Linked DNA regions of Schizosaccharomyces pombe. The protein of the gene in region 1 interacts with the protein of each later gene in a pairwise test. Each region holds a gene or a part of one and is shown on either strand. Other genes may lie near its edges. The genes, in order: asi1 and sfi1.

Evidence for each region.
Region 2: the proteins of asi1 (region 1) and sfi1 interact in a two-hybrid assay, tested with the Schizosaccharomyces pombe proteins (one large-scale study listed by BioGRID).

Annotation. Positions count from the first base shown.
Region 1 is NC_003421.2:660,678-666,079, forward strand, and holds asi1 (protein asi1), read right to left. Parts: upstream 3,647-5,402; 5' UTR 3,312-3,646; coding exon 1,665-3,311; 3' UTR 769-1,664; downstream 1-768. Other genes in the region: hap2 (Ino80 complex subunit), read right to left, coding at 174-367, 420-447, 493-504; peptidyl-prolyl cis-trans isomerase Pin1, read left to right, coding at 3,991-4,391, 4,537-4,663.
Region 2 is NC_003423.3:1,365,595-1,370,755, reverse strand, and holds sfi1 (protein Sfi1), read left to right. Parts: upstream 1-1,871; 5' UTR 1,872-1,962; coding exon 1,963-2,032; intron 2,033-2,087; coding exon 2,088-4,540; 3' UTR 4,541-4,661; downstream 4,662-5,161. Other genes in the region: isoleucine--tRNA(Ile) ligase Irs1, read right to left, coding at 1-1,598. UniProt on the Schizosaccharomyces pombe protein: Component of the spindle pole body (SPB) half-bridge involved in the initial steps of SPB duplication.

The DNA.
Region 1 (5,402 bases):
AGGTTTTTTTTCTTCGGTTGCAGAGTCCAATTTTTACCATCAATCATTACATACTTCATATACTTAGTCAAAAAAAAGCATGTTAACGATTATAGATCAATGGCCGGCAAAGTGATTTTAAAACGAATGAAGACTTAAAAATAAAAACATCAAGCGCCTGCCTAAAACAAGTATTATGTCTCACCAGCTTCCTTTTCTTTATTTAACCCTTTTTTCTCGAGCACTTTAGATAGCAATTGCGCTTCATGGCGATACCGCTGAATGTCTCTTTCAACGTTGTAAATTTTCACAGCATACATTTCGCATTCCTTTTCAATTTCCGAGACTTTTCTTCGAATCCTTGCGGTTTTACGCCGATACACGTCCTCTATACGTCGAGTTCATTAGCAAAAAGTCGTCAGACAAAAATCGGTACACACCTTCAGTTTCTTGAAGCAAATTTACCACCTACGCGGTCAATAAATAATTACAAATAGGTAATAAACCTCCTACCTGTGGATCCATTCCCGAAAGCTTCACGTTCTCAGTTTCTGGTGAAGAATGCAAAGCTAGTTTGCTTAAAATCTGTATTGTATTTAACGAAAAACTGCTTACTTCGTTATAGAAGATTGCCTACTACATTACGCAACCAAGGGTTTATAACGATACGAACCGAAACCGTTATCTAGTTTTCTTACCCATCAGCTGGGTATTGCTAGTGAAAAACAAATGTCTAATATAAAGCTAATCCTTTTTTGGCTGACTTCTCTTATCCATTCATATTACATTTTTGCTTCTTTTGGGTAGAAAAAGAATGGATCATGTCTCACATTTACAATACGAAAGTCAAATTTCAATAAACAAAGGTACATCATACATGTGAACAAATATTTCAAAAACGATTTATGATCATTTCATAACAAAGAATCATGAATTTACTTCGGATAAGTTCAAAAATGATATTGTCAGCCACTGATTCAGAGTAAATCTGTCATTCGTTTTATAAATGCACTGTCATAAACGAATACTTCCAGCAGAACCAGGCTCCGGTTGCACAGAAAATTTCAAGTAATAAAGCAGTGTCTCATTGGCAAAATAATTTTCAGAAGGGAAAAAGCGAAATAAAACAGAAAGAACCTTCTGAAAGAAAATTGAAACCAAATAATGTTCAACAACGAAATAAAAACAAACAGAAATGATAAAAAGATAATAAAAAATACAAGGGTTTCACCTTGCTTCTAGCATTGAATTGAAACAATACAGACATTTATGAGTGGGCTGAAATTAAATAAAGAGGGGCGAGGAGGAAAATTAGAAAAAAGAGAAGGGGTCAAAGAGGTTTTAGACGTATATTTTTTGGTAATATAAACCAGTCTAAGATAGAGGAGTTAATATTTCATGAACAAAAGCACATAGAAATTGTTTAAAAACAACGGCAATAATAAGAACCCGGATACACAATCCAAGTATTAAATTAAAGATCCCTTCAAGTACCCAAGAAATTAAGTTATTAATCAAATAAAATAATAAACAAAGACAAAGAAGCAGAGTTTCACTTAAATAATTGTCAAATAAAAATCGACATGTTTTTTTCGACCAAAAAAAAAGAAAACTTAAAAAGAACGAAAAATAATAATTATGGGGAGATATTAAAGCGGGCATTTGTTTTAAAAGCAAAAACTTTTTTAAAAATTGGATTCAAGCAAATTCTTCCAATATGGCTCTTGCCAAATATCATCATTCCAAATTGACTGTGGAACAAGAGAGTTAAGTTGAATGAGAATGTGAAAATCTTGAATAGCTTGAGCAAGTCGTTCATCCTCCCCATCTTCTTCGTTCGTAGATAGTATATAATCGTTAAAAGACTTGTCGCCTTTTAAATCATCGTTACACTTGATAAAATCGTCATAAACAACTTTCCATGCATCAAAATCTTTAAAAGCTTTAAAGAAAACCTTGTTGCTCAGCATGGAAGGGAGAGCAACGCTAATCCATTTAGCATAATCAATTCCATTCGACCAGCTATGCCTCCACAGATATACAAATATGTCCATAAGACCAGAGGCTTGTGCATATTGGCTGTCATCTTCGGTCAACCACAAACACAAGGTAGCCACAGCACTGATTACAGTTACATGTGATGCTAAATTGTCACGGTTTTTATTGTTATCCCATGCATCACGAAGAAAATCCATCGTATCGCTAAACAACTCAGTAAGCGATCGCTGAAGTTGGAAAAATTTATCAGGCTCAATTCTTTGGGCAAGAACGTCACAATTTTCACATAGATATCGAATGAGGAGTCCAAGAACTTCATAGCATTCACAAACCGTGTACGACACAGTTCCATGCTTTCCTTTCTGACCAACTGCCTTAACTAGCATTCCCAGACTTCCTCGAATCTCAGCAGAGCAGCGACCAATCACCAAAATCATAAACCCATCATTTGGCATAATAGAGGCGGGACCAGCAGCTTTAAGAAGGTTAGAAAGAATAACGGTAGCTGAAGAAAGATTTTTATCGGTGATAAAGCGTTCAACAACCGCATCCATCAAAGGCTGGAGATTAGCACGAATGGCCTCGGAATACCATGATTGAACCGGGAATCGCGAAAACAAATCGCTAAAAAACGAGAAAGTACAGTCCAACTTCCATCCGCGTCGTTTGTCGATACCTTGGAAAATGGGACGCATATACGTCTGTACGTTGTCGAGGGCGTATAGTGCGTTTGAAAGGATTTCAAATGCTTGTTCAAATGGAAATTCGTTGATAATAAATGATGTATAGTAAAGGAGATACTTAGCTGATTTTGGGTTGGAAGACAAAGTACATATAACCGGGATACAAAGATCATAATGTTTCAAACAACACTGTAGTAAAGTAGAAACCCTTTTTTTCACTTCATAACTTCGTAAAATGGCTTCTTCACTGCAGAAAGCGAGAAGGATGGAGACGCCCAAATCTACGTACTCGTAATGAGTGGAAAGGAGCAAGCGGTCCAAAAACTTCATATCCATCCTTTCCCAGCATTTGAAGATGAGATTGGGATGATCATTGAGTAATTTTGCAAGCATGGTCAATGACACAAATTTACTTGTATCGTCCTGGGCATGCAGCAAAGAAAAACAGTTTTCCAACAACTCCATAGAACCTCTCGACTCGCCGGAAGCATTTGAATCCTCGTCCTTATCAGTAACAAAATGAACCTCCGTTACATGGTCCTCACTCAGCTTTTCAGACGCATACGAGTCATCTTCGGAGAGAAGCTGCTCATACGATATAGTGCGCACGCCTTTGGGACCCTTGTGAAGATGAAAGTGTGGAATATGCATTAAGGTGAATTGAATTGTACCTCAATAACCTATTATTTATGAAAAAAAAACTTAAAACCGAGCTCTTCTCACTGCAGTCTACGACACTAAGTAAACTTTGACAAACGAAAAGAGGAATGCACCAAAAGTCTAACAATTTTCAAATCCAACAAATTTTCGTTCAACAATCCGAAATCTCCAAACTTCTCACCTTTTTCCTCAAATTCCACTCAAATCTGCCAGAAAAAAAATGTTTCTACTTCAAATTACACCAATTTTTCTTGATTAATTAAATAAATATCGAATTTGTAGTCCTCTACGACTTTTTACTCTTTCAAGCTAGGTGTTCCGCTTATGCTGAGGCAAAAAGGCATGCCTTGAGTTTTGTCTCCAATTGACGAATAAGGTATGCCCTATCTTCTGGTACTTTGGAAAGTGCCCCCACTTGGGATAAAAAGGTAGAATGCCCCCATTTCCTTTCCTATCGAAGGCCTTAGTGGTGGTTGACATAGCAACATAGCAAATGTGCTTTATTTACATAATAGATGGCAAACGACTCTAGCTACTACGTGACTCTAAACAAAGCAAATAAACAAGCTTCAAATTGCAGAGATTGAACGTGTTTTGCTTGTAATTTATAGTTGAGGATTTTTTCTGTCTTAGTGAATCCATTTTTTGAAGAAGCGTTGTGGTAAAAAAAATGTCTAATACTGGGTTACCCAAACCATGGATTGTCAAGATTTCACGCTCCAGAAATCGTCCCTACTTCTTTAATACTGAGACGCATGAGTCTTTATGGGAGCCTCCGGCTGCCACTGATATGGCTGCCCTGAAAAAGTTCATTGCAAACGAGTTGCAGGAGTCAGTTACACCCACCGAGGCAAGCAATTCACCCAAGATTCGTGCTAGCCATTTACTCGTAAAGCATCGAGAAAGCCGTCGTCCCAGCTCATGGAAGGAGGAGCACATTACTAGGAGCAAGGAGGAGGCGAGGAAGCTGGCTGAACACTATGAACAATTGCTAAAGAGTGGCTCTGTAAGCATGCATGATTTAGCCATGAAAGAGTCGGATTGTAGCTCCGCTCGTCGCGGAGGTGAATTGTATGTATTTTGATATACTGTAATTAAATACGAGTCGCAAGACCGACAGTATATGGTGGTGCCACACTTGGTGATAAGCTCTTGTTGGTTTGCCAAGTGTAGTCTGATTTTCAACTGGAACGATTTTTACTAACACTATGTGTAGAGGCGAATTTGGAAGAGACGAAATGCAAAAACCGTTTGAAGACGCTGCGTTTGCCTTGAAACCCGGTGAAATTAGTGGAGTGGTTGAAACGAGCAGTGGGTTTCACATCATTCAAAGACACGCTTAATTCATTTGCAAAACAATTACCTAATAATATTAATGAGTATGCTTTATTTCTTATTTTCACTTACTCCCTTTCCGTATGCTTGAAAAAGCAAACAAAATGTTTGTCTTGTTTTGTCACAAATTTATCTCTTCTGATGATTTTTTACATTTTGTTGACCATTTTCCCAAAGGAGAATATTCACAATTGTCGCTTTGTATGTCCCTTATTTCTGACGTTCACCCGTTTATAATACATTTTAACTTAGTATTTAAGTGTTTGCCCATTCATGAACACGAGCCAGCTTACTACCTAGGTTGAAAACAAAATGATTTGATTTCGCTTTGCTATTGATTGAAAAAGCTTTGATGAAAAATGATAAAGTAACTGATTGATGTTTCGAGATTTCTGTTCACTTTAAAAATTTTCACAGATTTTCTACTTTACATGAATGTTAACTTTATTAGAAAAAGTAATTACAAATTTATCTTTTGCATATTTCATTTGAGGTTTTATGGTTGTAGTCATTTTTTTATGCTATATTTATTTATTTGTTTATTTTTCTTTATACCTACACAAGTCTTTTTTCGTTTTTTTTCTCTAACCAACCCCATGCACTGATTTACAATAAAACAATTAATATCCGGCAAAGTGAAAATGCAGCATCCCATTTTTTACGCTATAGAGGTGAGTAGAATTCTTCAGCATTTGGAACCCATTTAATAAATTTATTTGAACCGACTTCGTACTAAATTCTATCTTT
Region 2 (5,161 bases), on another chromosome or scaffold:
GCATAAGGCATGCTGCCAGATTCAAACCAACAGTCAAATACTTCACTGACACGATGCAATGTTCCTTTACCTTTTTTAGAAGGAATAGTGATATGATCAATACTGTCACGATGAATGTCTGTAATATTAGAAACGCCGGAAAGTTCTTCAAGCTCCTTAATGGAACCAATGCAAACGACTTCTTCGTAGTCATCACTAACCCAAAGTGGGATAGGGGTACCCCAGTATCTGTTACGGGAAATGTTCCAGTCACGAGCATTCTTCAACCAATTCGCAAAACGTTTATCACGAATGTTTTGAGGGACCCAGTGAGTGCTCATGACATTTTCAACCATCTCATTAGTGATCTCCTTCACGCGAACAAACCAACTGGGAACGGCACGATAAATTAGAGGTGTATCGGAACGCCAGCAAAATGGATAACTATGGAAAATTTGACTATGCTTAACCAAATGGCCAGATGCTTTCAAGGAGCGGATAATTTCCTTATCTGCGTCTTTAACATATTGGCCAGCGAAGTCTGTGATTTCCGAAGTAAGCAAACCTTGCTCATCAACAGGGCAAGGAGGTTGGTGATCAGCATCGATGATGCCAGCAGCCCAAGCAGCGTCATAATCTGCTTCACCAAAAGCAGGAGCTTGATGGACGATACCAGTACCACTGCCTTCTTCAACGTAGTCAGCAGAATATAATTTAAATGCTCTTTCGCCAAAAGTGCTCTTGAAATAAGGGAAGAGAGGTTCATACTTTTGACCATCCAAGGCCTTTCCTTGGAAACGTTCCAAAATTTCAAAGTTCGCCTTTTTTGGGTTCTTGTAAAGGATGCCAAGGCAGCTCTCCATAAGGATATATTTCTTATTAGAATCCTTGTCCAAAATTTTTATGTACTGTAAGTCAGGGTGAACAGCCAAAGCAAGGTTAGAAGGCAAGGTCCATGGAGTAGTAGTCCAAGCTAAGAAAGAAACTTCAGGATCACTAATGGATTGAAAGGCAACAACAATAGCCGGATCTGGGACTTCCTTATAGTTTTGTTGAGCTTCAAAGTTACTCAAAGGTGTTGTACATGCAGTCGAGTAAGGCATAACACGATATCCGCGGTAAACTTTTCCTTTTGTATGCAACTCTTTGAAAACCCACCAAACACTTTCCATGAAAGAAGGATACAACGTTTTATAATCGTTATCAAAATCAATCCAACGGCCCAGTCTTTCAACTGTTGCACGCCATTCGGATGCATAAGTCATGACAATTTTACGACATTCGGCATTGTATTTGTCAATACCCATAGCCATAACATCATCACTTCCAGTAATACCCAACTTTTTGTCGATTTCATGCTCAACAGGAAGTCCATGTGTATCCCAACCGAATCTACGCTCGACGTGATAACCCTTCAAGCAAGCATAACGGGTGACACTATCCTTAATGGTAGAAGCCAAAAGATGACCATGATGAGGACGACCGGTAGCGAATGGAGGTCCATCGAAAAATGTATAAGTAGGACGACCTTGAGAAAGTTTTAACTGAGTATGGAACGCATCGATTTCGCGCCAAAACTCAACGATTTTTTCCTCTTCTTTAGGAACGTTAAACGACATGCTGAAATACTTTTACGGTAGGCAAAAGAGCTAATTCAGCAATGCTTCCGGAAATCGGTCTTACAAGAAGTTTAGGTGTGGAAGGAGAGGAATATGTACACAAAACAATTTTGTATTCAGATTGATTGCGATCAAATCCGATACAATTTGCTAAAAAATTCAATGTAATTTGGTAAACTGTGTTGTTTGTCTAGCGCAAAGGCTGCACACTGTGATATGTATCTTAACGCATTTAGTCGAGTACAGTAAACAGTTCGTTGATGAACAGAACTTAGCCGTAAACAAACAGATCTTAAAAGTCTTGATTCATTTGGTATTCACTGAGCTTTCTTTGTGATGTGTTTAATAAAAGACTTGTAAGATCATGAGCAAAAATGGCGCTCCCAAGTATGTCGACGGTGGTCGAAAAATCATGGACGAGGACTTGCGTCGTGGTATGAATTTTAATACGAATTTGCTTTTATTTTTTGCTAACTTACTGGCATTTAGATTTAGAAATATTGCGACTAATTTTACTTCGTTTAAGTCACGCAGCTGATGATACCTCCCCTCTTGATGTTTTCAACGCATACGAAAGTGTCCTTCGAGAAAATGGTCTAAATCCTGCGAGGCATCGTTCTTATATCCGTATTCTTTACCGATTGATCTCCTCAAAAAAACTAAGCTGGAATGATGAATGGAGGAACTTGATGCGACGAATCGGGTTCTCACAAGTTTCCTCAGATTTGAATACACCTCTTTTCCCGCTTAATAACACAGATATGGAAAATGATCCATTTATTGTAAATGGTGATGATTATCGATCGAGGAGTAATCAGCAGAAATCATCCCAGTTTGCTAGTGAAGTTGCTCAAACGATCAAGTCGCAAACTGCCATGTTTCGCAGAGCGGACCAATATCGGTCTCAAAAAGACAAAATTTTATTAGCAAACAGTTTAGACTTTATGCTTGAAAAATATCGATATTATAAAAAGATTGATGCCGTCTATCTTCGTAAAGCTGACGCTGTTTATCGAGCCTTTATTATGCTTAAATATTTTCCACGTTGGGTTCAGAAGCTAAGGAACATTCAATCTAGAATATATAGTGCTGGAGAAGCTTACAGATTGATACTAATAGGTCAAATGGTAAATCGTTGGCGCCAGAAGACGAGAGAACGTCTCCATCAAAAATTGCGATTTCAAAAGAATGCGTTTTTGCTAGACGTTTTGCTTAAATGGTCAGCATTAACGGTCAATTGGAATAGAAAACATGAGTATATGTTAAAACGTCGTGTGTTTACAAATTGGATGTCAAAGAGAAGGAGAAATGAAAGCCTTATACAGAAAGCAAATGTGTTTTTCCAGCATTCTGTCCTTGCTCATTCTTTTAAAACTTGGAAAGCAAACTTATCCATCAAGAATGCTGCTACATTATATGAAAAAAAAGTTGTATTTATGTCTTTTAATAGATGGCATGCCAATTACGAGTCACATGTTTTGGATCTACAGAAAGCTGAATTATTCTCCCAAAAAGCTTATTACAGTATCGCTTTACATAAATGGAAACTTCGAATTGAAGAATTATCTGATTTAATGAACAAAGCTGATGATTTATATGAAGTTAACTTGCTGCAACGAATGCTCGTCTTATGGAGACGGAAAGCTACAACTTACGAAAAAATTGATTTTTGGATGGACGGACATGATGTTGATATTGTTAAGTCTGCTTTTTTTAAATGGAAAAATAAATTTATAAAAGTTGACAGGAATTTTGAACTGGCTGATACGATTTTACAAAATACATTTTTGACAAAATGGAGACTGGCCGTGAGAGTTAAGGTAGTCCAGGAGAAAAGAAATAAAGATCGTCTAATTGTCACATTCAGATTTTGGTATTATTTAATGAAAGCTAAGTCTTTTCAACATAAGCGAGATCATAGACTATTAACTATTGCTTGGGAGGCTTGGAAGGACAACTATCAACGAAGAATCAAACTACAAAAAGAAGCTCAAGAATTACAACTAACAAGAATTCAAAAAATCGCTAAGCAATATCTAATCAAATGGCGTATTTCATTATTGGACATTAAAGAGCTATCGATCCGCGCGGAAAAACTTCATACTACTAACGAAATTATCGGTGTTTGGAATCAATGGGTAGTGTCTTATAATCGAAAGGTTGGAATGCAACAAAATGCTGATTTATTTTTCAAAAGAAAGACTTTGCGAGTTGTATTCGAACATTGGCGATACCTTCGTGAGACTAATATGTTATTACGACTGGAAAACAAAGTTGTTGACTTTCGAGAAGTTCAATCAGAAAAACTTGTGCTGCGATGCTGGAATGCTTGGGTAGCGCGGTTATTGTCGGTTTCTCAAATGCTTGACACAGCAGAGCTCTCAACGCAAAAAGTTGTCGTTAGAGCGTACGAAGCATGGTCTTTTCGTTACAATCACCAAAAGGAGATAATGTCTCAGGCAGACCAATTTTATAATGAACGACTAATGCGTTCTGCCATGGTTTTTTGGCGATATCAATTGCGTGCTATAAAATTTTATTTCAATATTAGTGATTGGAAGCGTCGTGAATTTAATAGACAAACGTTGCGAAATGCGTTTGATGCCTGGCATTTGCTGATGTTCCGAGTTACTAGCTTAGTAATGCAAGCGGATAGGTTCCACGAGCAAAAGAAAAATAAATTATTGGGCAAATATTTCCGAAAATGGTTGCAACGTATGCAACTTAATCAAGAAGAATCATCATTACTAGAGGCAGAAGCTACCATTGAGGGCAATCGCACTTCACGCTATATGCATACATTTGATACCACTTTGCCAATGCAAAATGATGAATTCACTGATGAGTCTGTAAATTTTGAAAATCGCTGGAAGCAGGAACTAAAGACTCCCATATCTCGATTTTCCAAGTTTCTGCGGCCTATACCTCCTAATACCCGTTGACATTTACGATTGACGGAGAGAGTTAGTTCTCTTTTTTTTTATCTAACCATTTGAAATGAGTTGAGAGTATATTGATAAACCTTTAGATATGTATAATATAATAGTCATTGCTTTGAAAAGTTTAATACATAGTCGAAAATTCGTGTAACAGTAGCATCAATAATCCTGCAACACATTACAAGTACGTGTGGAATACTTAAAAAAAAAAAAAAAAAACTTTAAGCAGGAAGTGAACGCTTCACTTGATAATTTTAAAAGGACTTTACCAAATCGTTAGGAGAGTAATGCTCCATAAGATGTTCAAAGCAAGTACTACGACTTACAGTAGCAGGCGGTCAAACAAATTTAAAAAAAAAATTTTTTTCTTACAATGAAAAATTTACAAAAATGAAATACGTATAATAAAAAAAAAACTATTTAAATTAATAAAAACAGATTAACAAAGGAAAAAAAATTAAAAACTACAAAGCTTTAAAACAGTGTTTCAGAATAAGTCAAGTGAGAAAGCAAAAACATAAAAATTAATATGCTAAACCCGACATTAAACCAAGGAAATATACATGACAATGATTGAAAAAATTAGGAAATGCAAAACTTAAACCCAATAAACACAATATACCA